Linked DNA regions of Oreochromis niloticus. The protein of the gene in region 2 binds, or shares a complex with, the protein of the main gene of each other region. Links are inferred from orthologs where the notes say so. Each region holds a gene or a part of one and is shown on either strand. Other genes may lie near its edges.

Evidence for each region.
Region 1: the proteins of slc39a7 (region 2) and mettl9 are in contact, whole or in part, in a crystal structure (PDB 8GZE), measured with the Homo sapiens proteins. The link is inferred for Oreochromis niloticus from reciprocal best matches to the Homo sapiens genes SLC39A7 and METTL9. Residues at the interface, in NP_001070984.1 of Homo sapiens: Gly65, His66, Thr67, His68, Glu69; in NP_057109.3 of Homo sapiens: Arg114, Thr115, Asn118, Arg123, Gly124, Met126, Met179, Asn210, Asp213, Arg214, Val241, His245, Tyr247, Glu249, Trp255, Tyr295, Leu296, Cys297, Glu298, Asp300, Tyr306, Val307, Leu308.

Annotation. Positions count from the first base shown.
Region 1 is NC_031973.2:26,775,863-26,784,609, reverse strand, and holds the start of mettl9 (protein-L-histidine N-pros-methyltransferase), read left to right. Parts: upstream 1-5,466; 5' UTR 5,467-6,074; coding exon 6,075-6,114; exon of another isoform or gene 6,115-6,241; intron 6,242-6,264; exon of another isoform or gene 6,265-6,276; coding exon of another isoform or gene 6,277-6,313; coding exon 6,314-6,447; intron 6,448-8,747. UniProt on the Homo sapiens protein: Protein-histidine N-methyltransferase that specifically catalyzes 1-methylhistidine (pros-methylhistidine) methylation of target proteins.
Region 2 is NC_031985.2:6,813,419-6,821,783, reverse strand, and holds the start of slc39a7 (zinc transporter Slc39a7), read left to right. Parts: upstream 1-4,897; 5' UTR 4,898-5,052; intron 5,053-6,922; 5' UTR 6,923-6,931; coding exon 6,932-7,489; intron 7,490-8,365. Other genes in the region: major histocompatibility complex class I-related gene protein, read right to left, coding at 659-672, 781-798, 974-1,078, 1,709-2,011, 2,182-2,460, 2,908-3,174, 3,878-3,926. UniProt on the Homo sapiens protein: Transports Zn(2+) from the endoplasmic reticulum (ER)/Golgi apparatus to the cytosol, playing an essential role in the regulation of cytosolic zinc levels.

The DNA.
Region 1 (8,747 bases), on a different chromosome or scaffold from region 2:
ATCTTTTTCAGTCTGACCAGGTCTACTCAGGGTCTCCTCCTAGCTCAACATGCCTGAAACACCTTACCAAGCAAGGAGCCTAGGTCATGGGAAGGCTTGCTGTAGCTGGAGGCTGCTGTAGGTTTGTTACAGGCTTGTTGGAGATGTAGGTTATTGTAGGTGGAGGGCTTGACAAACCTTCTAGTAGGTGATGGACTCCACAGTAAACCGATCCAAGGTAAGGTGATGCATAGGAATCTTTTGAGTCATGCTTAAAGTTTTGCCTTTCATTACATGCGCAAATTAGGTCACACTGGAAAACCACAGATATTCACCCCAAACAGCCGGTAATACAAGGATGAGTAGAACAGATAGCTGGAAACGGGTTAAAGCAACATATTTTCCCAATTTAGCATGAGAACCTACCAACACTTACTTTTCTCCAAGCCCTTTCCTCTCCTGTCTATACAGAAATTCTGATCTGAACGATACAATCCGAGCTGCCCTCAAACAGCATCAGTAATATTGTCCTCCTTTTCCAACTGCTCATCACATCAAGAGAGAATTCATGGTCATGGGAAATCTAGCTGATGGATTTTTTTTCCCCTTAGTTGAAATATTTGACTTATGTGAAAATGGATTTACCTCTTTGAAGACTATAAAGTCCAGTGATGTGGCACAACAGATAAACATCAACGAAGACTAAAAAAATGTCTGGGAAAAATGCTTAGCTTATACAGGTGCATTGTGGTAAGTTAGTAAGTATTTTGTGAAACCTAATAAACAATGGCACCATTATTTGATATCCTTTAATATAAAACAATTATCAAGCTCTAATTGAAGAGGTTGTCTAATTCAACAGGCAAATAAAATGCAATCCCTTCCAAGCAATCAATAAGCCAGTCAGGAATAAGCAAGTGACTTAAACTTGACCCAGCATTTGTTTGTTTTCTTTGATGCAGGAAGCCAGGTCCCTCTGGAGTGTGCAACTAATCTCCAACTCTTCCCGTGCAGCAACATGGTCTCCGTTCACTGATAACATCCCCCTGACCTTTAAGAGGAAGCATCTTTTCAGTGAAGCAATGCCAGGCATTCTGCAAGCTTACGTTATTGGGAGAAAAAGTTGTGTTTTTCTCTCTGAGAAGAACCAGCCGGCAGAGCCACTTCAGAACCAATTTGTTCAAAATCACAGATGTGTGGGTTAGCAAGTGCATTTTGTGTACTAGGGGGACACAAAATGACCATACAATTGATCTCAGGGAAACTTAGAGACAGCCTCCCTGGGTTTCCAAACTTACCACTGAGGCAGATTAAACAGGGTTTTTCACAGTCAAACAGTGTCCAATTAGATTCTGTCTGTATGCAAAACAAAACAGTCTGAGTCCAGAGGAAGCTGTCTTGGATGAAATAGTGCTCTGCCGGCACGATCTCCACATAGTTCAGCTATTCTGCTGCAGACTTCTAGGTGATGATGCAGCAGGGTAGCCTAGCAATAGATGCCAATGCATGTTTTGTACTGACACAAGGTTTAAAACTAGCCAGGCTCCTCTACAGGCAGTAAACAACTGCACAGCCCATCACTAACATGAGCAATGCACAATGTAAACGAGGAAGCCAAAATTGGCATGATAGCCTAAAGTGGATAGAGAGCTTACTTCAGTAGGGTTACACCGTAGGTGATCGTGGATGACCAAAGTGATAAGTGACAAATCCTTGAGTTGCACTACACTGTAAGAGAAATTCTTCAGTCTAATTTTCTCTAGTCTGAAAATGTTGACTTTTCAGACTAGATGTATATGTTGTAGACCTAATTTTCTCTGCAATATTCAGCTCAATAGCAAGCAGACCAAACCTCTATTGTTCACTGGGACAATTTCATTTGACATCCCACTGCAGCAAACGGACAAATGTAATATATACAAAAAATTGAGAACTTTATGAAATCCAAACATCGGCAATAGCATCATATGAACATCACAAGTCCATAACACCTCTTCCACCACCGTGAAGCACAGATGGGTGGAAAAAGCCCTGAAAGTTGGTGATTTATGAAAACAAGGTCCTTGCCTACCAGGGAAATTTACTGGAAAACGCCAATAGCTCGTTCAAAGTTATCGTACATGTTCAGCTATTTGCCTGTAAGTGAAAAAAACAGGATCATGCGACTTGTGGACGCATTTTATTGGGACTGCCGTCTGCTCTCATCGTTCAAATCTAGTTCGCCAAGTTACCAATCTCAACTATCAAGGTGTCCCAGCTACCGTCCTTCCTACTATAATCCTGTCGTATTTCTATTAACCGAGTCCGTCTCTTTTTAGTCTGCTTTAGTCTGTTCACAATGAACAGGTTTAAAGAAGGAAAAAAGGTTCTCACCTGCTGAACTACGGTGCTGTAATAAGATAGCTCACAACCGAGTAAGAAGAGCGCTCAGGGTAGCGCAAGACGGACTTACACCGTCAAGAGACCCGCGAACACTGACACAACTTCTGGTAGAAACTTTCAAAGTAAAGTTGCGCAACAAGTCTTGGATTCTTGCTTGTCAAACTTCCTTTGTTTTTGCTTGTTTTCAATATCAGATGGCACAGAGTTATGTTCGGACCGGAAAATTCAACGTCAGTTTCTGACGCCACTGAGCAATAACCCTTAGATTGTCTGGCTTCCACTTTTATATGATTTTATTGTGAAGGGAAAATTACACAACTCGATCTAGCGTTCTTCTTAGGGTTGGTTAACTTAACGGAGGTAAGTAACCAACCTACTGTATGACCGTCATATTAAAACAAAAGTTGTTTTTTATTAATAATTATTAAAAAATAAATATTAGTACTATTATTACAAAGCAAAGCTCTCGCTATTAAGTAGCCATTTCCCCAATTTATGTACTTTAATTGCTTATTTTAGCCCTAGTTGTTTTTGTGTGTTTGCTTAGGTTTTCTTGACGGATTTAAATTTGACTGTTTGTGTGATGGCAGTGTGAGTTAAATCCTCAGACCACTTTTAGTCAGTATTAAGTAAGTCTTGTTAGAAGCTTATTTCCCTGAGTGGACCCTGCTGGCGTTTCATCGAAGGAGAGAAGAGTGAGAGAGAGCTAGCAGAGCGGTGATGTAGTAGCGACATCTGCTGATGAAACACTGCTACTAACATTACTCCTAGTCAAATTCAAGGCAACGCGATTTTCTGTTACCTCGCGTTTACAGTCTTGTATAGTATAGAAGTCAATTTCGGCCATTAAAAAGAAAAACCAAATCCAGAAATGTTAAAGACCAAAAAAGTTAGTCATGATTTAAAGAAATTGTCACAATTTGACTTGCATGTTAAAATGATCAGCTAAAATAGTCGGCGTTTTTAAAAAGAAAACTATCATTATGAAACCACAAAGGTCAATGGTGAGAGTTTTGAAAAACTGAAAAGAAAATGAAGGCATGACAAATTGTTTAAAATTATGAGGGAAAAATCTAAGTGATGGGACAAAACATGCAGATGGCAAGATAGAATACCAAATTGTGAGATGAAAAGAGGAGCTAGAAAGTTATAAAGGATAAGGTCAAAATAAGACGAGAAAAATTATCACATAAGAAGTCCAAAATTTATTCTTTCCTTCTCATTTTCCAAAGGCATCAAGTGGTCTTCGAACAACAAGTGCAGCCAACCACGCCCACTTTTTATCTGCTCATTATGTCCGGAAATAAATAGCTGTAGCAGGAGGTGTTGAAATTCGTTTACTTCTGCAGGTGCAGGTAAGCCTCATCTCTTCGCGCGCCGTGCAGGTATGTAACACATGCTGAATTTCAAACACTGCTTCCAGGGTCCGTGTATTTCCTGGGCATTCACTGCATATCTGTAGAAATGTCTCCCAGAGAGCCTCTTGGATGCGTTTGTCCATGTCGAGGACATGTCTGCACACCTCCCTTTCTGTTAATTATAGTGTGACACTGTACTATACTTTAATGTTATATAGAATATAATCTTTAATAAAATTAAAATATAATATTTTTTCACAACAAAGAAGGCTTCCACTGCTGCTTCTCTTGGGTTCTAGTTACATTTTTATTTATAACATTTTCATCTAAACCATATAAATGTAAATGAGTGACAGCTTCCAGCAGTTTTCAGCTTTGGAAAGGAGACATTTGAAGATCAAATTCAAAAAGGTTGCTTTTGAGCTTTGTATTTGAAAGCCCTGAGTGAATTCATCTGGGAGAACTTTCACAAAGTCAATATTTGAACTATTCTTAGTGGAGTTTGTTTTTGTGTGCACGGCCTTGTTAGGATTATCATGTGGTATTCCCTTTGGGAAAGAAACAGACTAGAGATGAACACACTCTTTATTTCCAAGGTCAATCACTAGGATCACTATGTGACTCATCTTGCTGGCTGTTCTAACCATGCAAAGTATGAAAAAGTTCTCTTGAGCAGCAAAACAGGACATGGTGCAGTTGTTTCAATTATTTGAAACCTAAAGTAAGGAAAACCAATTCAAACAATGTCTAGACAGTCTTTTACACAGAATTCTCTTAGAAGCTTCTCCCAGTAAAACAAATGAAACTGTAAAGTTAAAGGAAAGCTTCTCACATCTTTGAGCTGCTGCAGACGATTGACAAACTGATGCTAAATGACCTCATTTTTACATCGTTAGCATTTTAGTGGTAATCTGGTGAAGTGTGTTTTCTTGCTTTTAAATGGCAGATGTTTTTTGCACATATTTTATGAATTATGAAATGATGCCTAAGTTGATTCAATCAGTTAAAGGTTTCTCCATGGCTGTCTGTTACCCACAGCAAGACTTCTGTCGTGTATTGAAACTCTAATAGGTTTGAGAAGCCACAAGAGGGAACTTGACTCATTTTAGTTCAGTGGATGAATTGTTGGCATAATGTCAATATGCAACAGCCAACATCATCTCTGTATGCCTGCTGGTAATGGGAATGCAAAGATAGCTAAACTGCAAGATGGGGAGACGCAGTGATTAAAGGGACAAATCAAATTTCTTTGAGAAGCAATTCTTGCCTCTTGATGGCATCTTTTGTAACACCTTCAGGCACTTCAAATTCTCCCATATTGCTTTAAATTATTTCAGTGCCCCATTTCGCTTTTGCAGTCTTGTCTGAAACTGAGGCCTTGCAACATTGCATTGTCTTCATGTTTTGTATAATCAATGCCAACTAAAAAAAGACAGCAATAGCCACTGTTGTTGTGCATTTGGTTTTGATCCAGAAGTAACCATATTTGGACAAAATTGTGTACTATTTAGATGCTTACTAGTTTGGTTGGAAAAATTCACATATTTGCTCATTGGTGCAAGTAACAGACTTTTTTTTTTTTTTTTTTAAATATCTTTAAACCTTGCTAGATTTCTAGAGGAAACATTCCTAGTGTAGAATAGCCTTTATATCAGTCCATAAACATGCTCCTGTTTATGGTTGGAGGGTGACTCTGTCACAAGACTGCAGGATACCAGGAGTCTATGGAAAACTGGCCCTGAGTTCCCTTGCTCTGACCTCTTTAAACATTCCCGTTTGAGATTGGTTGCTACTTTCAGGCTGTTGAATAAAATGAGGTGCATCTTCACATTTCTAGTCCTATAGTGCAGTAACTTATCCAGAGTTTGTTCATTGGTCACTGACCATTTGTTAGCCAGTGAGCATGCTCTTGTTTCTTGGTCAGATCAAACCTTGCATCATGCCTGGTTGCACAATGCCAAGATTACAGCGAACACTCTGCTCAAACCTTAAAAACTGAACTTCACTAACAGGTGATGTCATGTGGCAACCTCAATCTTTAAAATATTCACTTACAATAAGCTGTGGTTTGGGGAGGAAACGACTGGAAAAACTTTTACATATTGCAGGAAATGATTCACGGGCGCTTTAAATAATTGCTGGGTTTTAAATGAGGTGATAGGTCCTGGAAACCGGTTTTTTAGGTCTAATGGACACGCCTAAGCATAGGGTGGCGGTAAAGCGCGCATAAGCGGTTTAAACGCCTCCAATAAAGCCAAAAGAAGACAAAGCATTGCCTTTTTGTTGTCATATTGGGCAGAGACCCTACAGATGGCACTGAATTGAATATAATAAGCTAACAGTGGGATTAAGTACATGGTAACGGGCCTTGTTGAATCCTCTGCTTTCCCCGCAGGTTTGTTTGCCGTCGTGTAACCGGACACATGCCTCTGCGTGTTGCTTTGCAAGTGGCTGCTGTTCGCCTCTTTAACATCATCTAATATTAACCACGGCATTCTGGCCACTTTGCCTCTTCTCTCTCGGTTTGTCATCTCTTCTGCTCAAGACTTTGTTCATTATGTGTCCTCTGCAGCTGAGGACGTTGCTTTTTGTAGGGTGGGTCGTAGGTTACGTCGCCTTTCTGCTCTCAATCAGGAGGATGTGGACCGGGAAGTACATCCGAAATCCGGTTGTCCGCTCCCTCCTGGTGAACATGCTGAGCGACCTGGATACGATAGACGTTACAAAGGTAGGTTACCTGCGAATGGTCCTTGTCGCGACAGCGGGGGTTCTGTAAAGGGTAAAACGACGCTTTGTGAAATACTGGGAAGTTTGAATCAATTGTGCAGGTGTTGGACTAAAAAGTGATCGTTTGCCAAAGTGATTTCCGGTATTTGCACAAAAATTATTGCCCGTATTTAAACTGCTATTGACTTGTTGATCTATAATATGTGAAAAGGATGGCAAACAAGTTTCTCGTGGGTATGAGAGGGTAATTTTGAGCCACGAACTTCATTCCTGTCACAATGTAGACACATGTGCTTTTTTTGGCAAAGTGACGTGTGTGTGGAGAGAGAGAGGTAGAGAGAGATCTATCTATATATATATATATATATATATATATATATATATATATATATATATATATATATATATATATATATATATATATATATATATATATATATATATATATATATATATCTCACACACATACAGGGAGTGCAGAATTATTAGGCAAGTTGTATTTTTGAGGAATAATTTTATTATTGAACAACAACCATGTTCTCAATGAACCCAAAAAACTCATTAATATCAAAGCTGAATGTTTTTGGAAGTAGTTTTTAGTTTTAGCTATTTTAGGGGGATATCTGTGTGCAGGTGACTATTACTGTGCATAATTATTAGGCAACTTAACAAAAACAAATATATACCCATTTCAATTATTTATTTTTACCAGTGAAACCAATATAACACCTCCACATTCACAAATATACATTTCTGACATTCAAAAACAAAACAAAAACAAATCAGCGACCAATATAGCCACCTTTCTTTGCAAGGAGACTCAAAAGCCTGCCATCCATGGATTCTGTCAGTGTTTTGATCTGTTCACCATCAACATTGCGTGCAGCAGCAACCACAGCCTCCCAGACACTGTTCAGAGAGGTGTACTGTTTTCCCTCCTTGTAAATCTCACATTTGATGATGGACCACAGGTTCTCAATGGGGTTCAGATCAGGTGAACAAGGAGGCCATGTCATTAGTTTTTCTTCTTTTATACCCTTTCTTGCCAGCCACGCTGTGGAGTGCTTGGACGCGTGTGATGGAGCATTGCCCTGCATGAAAATCATGTTTTTCTTGAAGGATGCAGACTTCTTCCTGTACCACTGCTTGAAGAAGGTGTCTTCCAGAAACTGGCAGTAGGACTGGGAGTTGAGCTTGACTGCATCCTCAACCCGAAAAGGCCCCACAAGCTCATCTTTGATGATACCAGCCCAAACCAGTACTCCACCTCCACCTTGCTGGCGTCTGAGTCGGACTGGAGCTCTCTGCCCTTTACCAATCCAGCCACGGGCCCATCCATCTGGCCCATCAAGACTCACTCTCATTTCATCAGTCCATAAAACCTTAGAAAAATCAGTCTTGAGATATTTCTTGGCCCAGTCTTGATGTTTCAGTTTGTGTCTTGTTCAGTGGTGGTCGTCTTTCAGCCTTTCTTACCTTGGCCATGTCTCTGAGTATTGCACACCTTGTGCTTTTGGGCACTCCAGTGATGTTGCAGCTCTGAAATATGGCCAAACTGGTGGCAAGTGACATCTTGGCAGCTGCATGCTTGACTTTTCTCAGTTCATGGGCAGTTATTTTGCACCTTGGTTTTTCCACACGCTTCTTGCGACCCTGTTGACTATTTTGAATGAAACGCTTGATTGTTCGATGATCACGCTTCAGAAGCTTTGCAATTTTAAGACTGCTGCATCCCTCTGCAAGATATCTCACTATTTTTGACTTTTCTGAGCCTGTCAAGTCCTTCTTTTGACCCATTTTGCCAAAGGAAAGGAAGTTGCCTAATAATTATGCACACCTGATATAGGGTGTTGATGTCATTAGACCACACCTCTTCTCATTACAGAGATGCACATCACCTAATATGCTTAATTGGTAGTAGGCTTTCGAGCCTATACAGCTTGGAGTAAGACAACATGCATGAAGAGGATGATGTGGACAAAATACTCATTTGCCTAATAATTCTGCACTCCCTGTACATATGTCTGCTTTTGTTTGTTTGTTTGGTTGTTTTTTTTTAAAGGGAGATCTGGCTATTTCAACAAATATAACAGTTTTATAAAAATATGAACTGCATTGATTTAAAATGTAGGTACTCTAACACAGTCATAAATGGTCATTTCTTCATTTTATATACAACTTCTTCATAAATTCTGTTACGCCCAGTATAGGCAAATGTATAACCCTTAAAAATATACATTGAAACATCAGAAATCACTTGGCACAACACCGAGGTTGTATCAGTGGATTCAAAACTGCCTG
Region 2 (8,365 bases):
GTGCAGGGCACAGTACCGTATATGTTTACATCATATTGAATAAATAGCTGGTTAGAAGGAAACAGACCTAGTAAAAAATCTGAACATGTACCAAAAAACACAGAAAACAAAAATGGATTTTAACTCTTCTCACACACTTAATACGCTTATTAAATAATTTTTTTTTAAAAATATCATTATCAATATCATCACCCAGATGTTAGTGAAGTCACATCCTTGCAGCCTCAAACGGAGCATTTTGGCCATTGCTGATTGAGGAATGGACAGAGAAATGAGGGACTTCATGCCAACTACACAATTTAGTCCTAAAGCATACCCTAGTTTCTGAACAAGCATCATGTTGTAAGACTTGAAAGTAGTGACTGAGATTATAAACTCATCAGGAAACTGTTTACTAAGATCAAAATGTAAAGCAGCTGTTTGGCTGTCCTCCATACAGTCAGATAAGTCTCCCACTTTGCACTGTTCTTCAAACCTGAAAGCTGCATCTTTCTATGTATGTTCAGCTAATGAAAGCTGTCCAATCTGCTGATGCTGGAGCTGTTAGAATTAAATATCATCAGCATGCTGGTGGGTCATCAGCACTCTCCAAATGAAAATATTTCTCTTTCTGGGAAAACGTGATGAAACTCAGTGATCGCTTAGCTTCTTCTCACCGTCACTGCTCCCCTGCTAAGACAAACAGAAAACAGAAAATGAAATGTCTCCTGTTACAGTAAACAGAGTATCAGTTACTAACAAAGTAAAAACAAGTTGCTGCATTTTATTAATATTACTCACTGTTTGCCAGCTGGAACTCTGAAATACAGGCAGAATAATGAAAAACAAAATGATTAACATGACAGAGTTTAGCAAAGCCAAATTATCAAATAACTCACTAAAAATATCACCAAAACTATCATGTAAGTACATATAACTACAACGTGCATAAATTCGAAATTCATTATTGGAGTAAAATCTGCTGTAATCTCACCATTACTGTTTCTTCTCCAGATGAAGAAACCAAAGACTGCCAGGAGGAGTAAAACTCCTCCAACACCTCCAACAACAGGACCAACAGGAAACACTGAGGGAGAAACTGAAAAGGTCCAAAATGTTGGATCATTCACTCTGCTGCCAAACCAAGCTGCTGTTTCCAGTGTTAATGCATCACTTCTGAACATTGTATGTGGTTAAGAGAAACATTTTCTCATTTTCTTCTTCAACGGTGTGGTTCATGAAATCTGTAGTAGCCAGATCTCAGTTTGTTTGGATCATAAAGAAGAAAAATAGTGTTTGTGTTTAGGATGGTTTGCAATGTAAAAGCAAAAACTGTAAATACTGCTTCAGCCTAATTTAATTATGCATTTTTGGCTTTTTTGTTATCAAACTTCTCCTTAGTGTAAATGTTAGCACCATTATTCTATACATGGTTATAGGATGAGGTTGTACAATATTTGGTGTTTTTTATATCGGTTCTATGATCGGATTTGGCACATTTGAGAAACTTTAGCAGATCAGAGGTCCTTTACTCTTAATTAATGTCTCCATTGTTTCCTCTGACACTGTGCAAAATATTTTTTAATTACATATAGTTAAAATGACATCACAAATGAATTTCTGTTGACTCAAGAATTTCATGCAGACATTTATTTGTTTCAAAGTTTTTTTAAATATGATGGTGTTGTAAACTTTGAGATACAGAACTTCATTCCTGAGCCTGTCTCACCCCAGTTTGTCCGGATCGCTGTTTTGTCCAGTTTGGTGATGATGTCTTCCTTAACGTCAGAGAGCTGAAACACACAGTCGTACCTCCTCCAGTCGTCTGGCTTGATTGATGAAACATTCAACTCAACACTCATCTGGAAGCTCCCGTCATGGTTGGGGAGGATCTCTCCATGCTCCACACCCTCATGAATTTCCTCTTCGTCTCTCCTCCAGAACATCATGGCTCTCTCTGGGTAGAAACCTGTAGCATGGCAGCTGACTAGAGAGGAGGGAGTCCTCTGCAGGAGAGAAACTGAGGGAAGAACTGGGAAAAGATAAAAACAAAATAGGGAGAGAGGCTTTATCTGGGACAGCTGATAATCATGGATGAAATGTTTGTCTATGCACTGGTTCATTTTCCTTGAAATGATAATCTGGAATAGAAAGAGAAAGGGAAGCTTTTGCAACCATATATAATAGCATATGTAATTCTACCTGTTCTCTGCAGAAAGCTCCTCCCATATTTCACATACTTCTTCAGCCAGTCGGGGCACCTGTTGATGTAGTAGTTCTTGTTGTGTTCTAATCGGGGTTTTTCAGTATCCCACTGCAGTTTTGTGACGACAGCCTGTGGTTTAGGAGCAATCCATGTTAGTGTCTGCAGGTCCAATGCTATGAAGTCTTCCCCATCATAACCATACTGATTAAAACCTGTGATTGTATCAGTCTCATCGTCCCATTCACAGCCATTCATCCTCTGAAAAATGTGAACACCTGACAGAGAGAGAGAGAGAATGCAGAGCCAGTAAAGTTGTGGATGGTTAAAGATGATCAGAAAGGTAAATCCTGCTGCAAGTTTTCAATATTTACCATAAAAACAACACAAAGAAATCCTCCTCTTTATTATTCTTGTCCTTGGAAGTAACCATTTACTTCAGCTACTGTTGATGTACATAGTGACAGTGACCTTGTATATGGCAGGGATTTTTCTTGCTATCCCTCTAACACAACAAGTTAAACTAGGCCAATAATTTATTATGGTCACTAGAACAGAGTCAATATCTTACTTGTAATTTTACTTATGTGGTAGACTGATTATTTTAGGTGTGTAAATGAAAACCCCCAAATAAAATGAAATAAAGTATGATGGAAGGATGTAACTCTCACTGTGTGTGTGAATGAAAAGAGCAACATTTAAGGTAAAGGGTGATATTACTGTACCTCCAGTTTGGTTTAAGCGCTTCTTCAGACTATTAATATTGGCTCTGAAGACCTGCTGATTCCCAGAGCACTTCTGCGTGTACCACTCCAAATGCTGAGGATCTTTTTTTATTAACTCCTTCATCCATTCCAGTTTGGGTTCAGCTCTCCTGATGCTGCTGTCACAGTAGCCCACTAAAACCCCATCAACTACAGCCGCACCAACAAATTCTGGGAAGTCTGAGATCCCAGAGGAAGCAGTGATGAAATATTTCAGGGAGTGTTTCACTGTTGAGGAAAACATGTCAGCGATTAGAGCACCAATAGAACAGTGGTTTTATTTATAATGACATTTTACTAATAATTCAGTAGTTATTGTTCTTTGAAAAAGTGTCATTCTCATAAATTTTAAGCTAATTTAATCAAACCAAAGTCAAATCTGTCACAGAAAGCAACAGTTCAAATGAGGACTGTTTTTATAGGACTGGCTGATTCAGGTTAAAATAGCAGTTTGTCGCTTTGTAGGCTACACTGCCCCCCAGTGTTTAAATATGATATAATAACAAATAAATGATGTTGTGCTTGTTAATAGTCTCATTTAAACTCAATAGCAGTATTAGCAGCAGCCGATGCAGCAGAAGGAGTAGTGGTACTATTTGTTGCTGATATAAAACTAATTTAGTTACGTTAATGGGAACTGCGTGTGACTATCTCAACGGGTTGCCAATGTCAGCAGTTCTTCCTCGTGATATAAAACTGCGGATTAAACATCAATAAAATGAACTGAATTAGGAGGAGATGTTTCAGGAATGCATTTATGAGCTATTCTTAACTTCCTCCTACATGTAAAAAAATGGTAATTTAGGGGATCATAAAATTAAAGACGAAAGTAAAACTAAAAGCGCAGCATCAGAGTTCCGTTATACAGGAAGAAAGGACAGTAACGGCTGCTACAGACGTGCTTTACAGGAATAAGAAGGAATCATTTTACCTGCAGATGAAACGTGACAGGAGAGGAGAAAAAGACACAGGCTATTCATCCTGTTTGTATGAATAAGATGGGTCCTATATAGCTAAAATAGACAGCTGATAAGAAATGTGAACAGAGAAGCTGGGGGTGTGAAAGCGTCTCTGACCAATAACGTCACATTTAGGTGCTGGCACAACAGACCGGCCGGCTATATGACCTGTCATAACCTATAGTGCTGAGTGCGAAAGTGAAGCACTGCAAAATAAGCTACTTTTTTTTTGTTAAGGACTGAGCAAACCACATTTGCCTTTTGTTTCAAAAACATGTTAAAAGGTCATATGTCAGAAATGTGTCTTAGTGTAAGTAACTTTTAGGACCTAGAAGACAAAACCATTGTCCTCATAGTTAAAAATCTGGATTTTTAAAAAATGTATTTTTAATGTATCAATTATTTAAAAAAAAAAACATATTGTGATGTATATTGCAGTAATGACTGCTTCATCGAACGATTATTATCACTGGATTCAAAGCAACGTCTACTTCAACAATATGTGCTTTTTTCATAAATATTAACGTTATTTTTGTGATATTGTTCCTCTTTTAAATAAAAGTTATCTGAAAATTCATAAAACATAAATGTGTAGAATCTGTATTATTATTATTATTATTATATTATTATTGTTGTTGTTGTTGTTGTTGTTATTGTTGCTGTTTTGTTATGTCATGATAGACTCTCTCTCTATCATGAAAAAGTGTGATTCCTTCCTTTACATAAATAAACAAAACCGTCAGTTATTCGAGGCAGGATGTTTATATCCTCCCTAGCTCCGGGATCTGGCTGTCGGTATCACATATCTCGCGATAATTTGGTTATCTCCTTTAAATCAGAAGAAATGATATTCTTTTTTTATTTTCAGTTAAAAGTTTTAACATGTGACTATAATGCTTTATAATAAATAAACATGTAATTTAATCTAAGTAGTGAGTAAAAAATTGTCTCAAGAGCACCACAACAGGAGGAGGTAGACTTTGAATGGAACGTGATCCCGCGAGATTTCGGTTAGTTTAGTTGAGTAAACGCCACGTCTTATTCTCAGCCATCAGCAGCATCAACGTAGGCAGAAAGATTGGTAGTTCTGAGCGCAGGATAGACGGTTATCAAGTGGCAGACACTCACTGATATCTGACACTATCTGGTAAGATTTTAATCTTTATTTTTTCTGTTATCAAGTTGCATTCAGACATGTTGCTTCTGCTGCAGCAACATGCTAGCAAGTTAGTTACTAGCTAGCTAGCTAGCTAGCAGACTTTCCTAACAGCTAATTGAAACCTGCGGTCAGTGGTCCTCTTTGAGCGGCTTTTGCTGTTTACTTTGAGATTAAAGTTGATGCTCTCCACAGGGATTATCCACTTTCACCCACCAAACAGTGAGCAAATAAACAATCACAAGAGAAGACAAAGCTAGCTCAATCAAAGTCAGGTTACCTTCACTTCATTGTATCGTCACAGCTAAAGTGATACGGCTGCAGGCACACATCAGCAGATGCTGCTGCCCATACATACACATGCAGCGATCTATTACAGTATTATATCAAAGCAAACCAGCTAAAAGCACAAAAAACAGAAGTTACAACGTGGGTTTTTTTTTTTTTTTTTTTTTTCGATTTGAAGGGCTTAGGTCTGCAGTCACAGCAGTGGACAGTTATAATAGCTTCATGCAAACTCCTGATGAATTAGGATAACTCGCTGTTATCTTGGTCAGTTAACAGGTCAATCGCCTCATTTGGTCCGGATCTGAAACACATGTGACTGGAAATGCGTCCGGAAGCGCACCGGATGACATACGTAGTCATATTTTAATAGAAGTTTAAGCTTATTGAGGTTTATTTGTTGACGTCTCAGATCTTGGAGAATAGCTCTGATCCTGCATTTAATGAAAGTGCTGGTTTCTGCAGTAACTTGTTGCACCTTCTGTACATATGTAGTGTCTAATTTCCTCTTGAAATAGCTCATAAATACAGATGGATATCACACAACCTGTTAGGGCCAAAGATTGATTCTGACTCTTTCTGTTCTACTTGTGATTTTTAAACCCACCATGAGCAGAAAGGGATCGTAAAATGTGGCCAGATGTTTACTGGTTAAATAAAGACAACGTGGAGGACTGTGCTGGCTGAGCTGCAAGTGCAGACAGAGATAGATGAAGGTCATGAGTTGCAGCATTATGTCCAGCACAGAACAAAGAGGATAACTAAGACAGAATCTAATGTCGTATACATGCGTGACTGGGGATTTGTACTTCAACAGGAAATCTACGTCATAACCACAAACCCTTCTGAACCCTATGCTATAACCTACAACATAACCAAACATGCAAACATCGGCTCTATGCAGCCCACAACTATTATAACTGTCCTGTTGAGTACCAAAGATTCCTTCGTGTAAACATGCCCTCTGAGTTAGAGCCATAAACTGTATATAAATGATGAACATAGCCATTATTGCATCACCCATTGGTCTTGGATTCTTCTTGTTAACGTTTCAGTGTTCTGTATTTGACTTCTGCCATGTTAGTGCTTTGGAGCTGGAAGTTACCATATTTGGACCAGAGAGTGGTAGTTATCATTTGATACTAGCTTGGTTACCAAGCTGCATTTTTAAACTGCTTAATATAGATGAGACAAGTAAAGTATTACAATGTCATTGACAAATGTTCAATAAGGCACTAACAACACAAACAGAGTCATGAGGTGCAGTTCAGTGACTCAAAGTGTGGTCCACCCGACACTGATCAGCTGCATTTCCCTGTCTATCAGCAGCCTTAATCTTAAGCCTGAAGAAAATAAAACTGCAGTGTTACAAACAGATTATTAATGATGTGGAAACTATCCACAGAGGGGAATTTTATAGTTAATTTTGCATCAAACCTTTAAAAATGTTCTTAATATCATTTGGTTGGACAGTTTAAACTGAGAGTCTGTTTCTTCACTCTCACTTTGGCTTCAGTTTTCATGCTGCTGGGTTTTTATTTATTAGATGTCTTCTTCTCTTTTCTCTACATCCCAGGGTTTTAATATGGGCTGTGTACGTCTGCTGGCACTGACATTGGCAGCATCTGCAGTACTATTGTTAGCATCTCATTTAGCCACTGCTCACAGCCATTCCCATGGTGACCATGGACACACCCACTCCCACGGCCACCACGGCCACTCCCACGGAGAGGATGATCATCACGGGCACTCCCATGGCTCTCAGGTGAAGATGTTCCACGGAGCAAGCAAGTGGAGCGCTGAAGCCAACCTGCAGGAAGAGGAGCATCACGATCACGGTCACGATCACGGACACGATCACGGACACGATCACGGCCACGGCCACTCTCATGATCACGGACACGATCACGGCCACGGCCACTCTCATGATCACGTACACGATCACGGACACGGCCACTCTCATGATCACGGACACGATCACGGACACGGCCACTCTCACGATCACGGACATGAGGATGCTCATCGTGAGAATGTTGTTCGAGTACATAAGGAGGGAGGTGGACACGGGCACTCACACGGAGGGGAGAGGACGAAGAGGGAGGCGGGGCGCGAGAAGAGGAACACGGTGGAGCTGTGGACACAGGTGAGTGACTGCTTGTTTAGGTTCAGAAATTGGGTTTGAAGACAAATTAATCATTGTGCATAAACTTTTTTTTCTTGCTGATTGTTAGAGACATTGATGCAATGTTCATGTCTCAGAAAAACTATAAAGCATCAAGACAAAAAACGTCTGTCTCATAAGCCTCCAGTAAACCACTTCTTTCAATTGTCAGATTTAAAATTTTTGTGAATAATAACAATAAATGGGTCATAGCCACAGCCTAAGAAAAATTATATTATTATACTCTTATAAGTACTTTTGTTAAGTGCAGTTTTTCAGTAAAAAAAAAAAAACAGCCTGGAAAACTGGTCAAAAACAATATGAAAATACACAGATTATTTAAATAAATTAACAAATGTTCATTTGACCATTTATCATCGCCAGTAATCACATGTACTTAATCAGATTACATTTTGTCTGTAAAGGAGAAATATCTCTTTTTACTGCACTTCAAATTCAGTCATCACAATATGTTTACAAATCAAACAAAATATGTCATTAATTATTTTCTCTAATTATCTACTTGATGCTTGTAAAGAAAAACGTTTGCCATTTTATACACAATTTTGCAGCTGTTGCTAGACTGCAGGCAGGTCTGTCAGAGCGCTCTACACTTTATTGGCATTACTTCAGATGTGTTGCATGAACAGACAAGAATGTGATAATAAAAATCAAACCGCTCCCAGCACGACATCAAAGCTCTTCAAAACAACATGCTAACCTTTGTTATACATTTTTATGCTACTATCACAAAGCTAGTACGTAGATACGCAGTATGAGGCTCAAGCAGTTTAAGTTTTTTTTCACATGAATACAAAACATATGAAATTTAAACTCCCTCCTCCGTCTTTGTCTGCA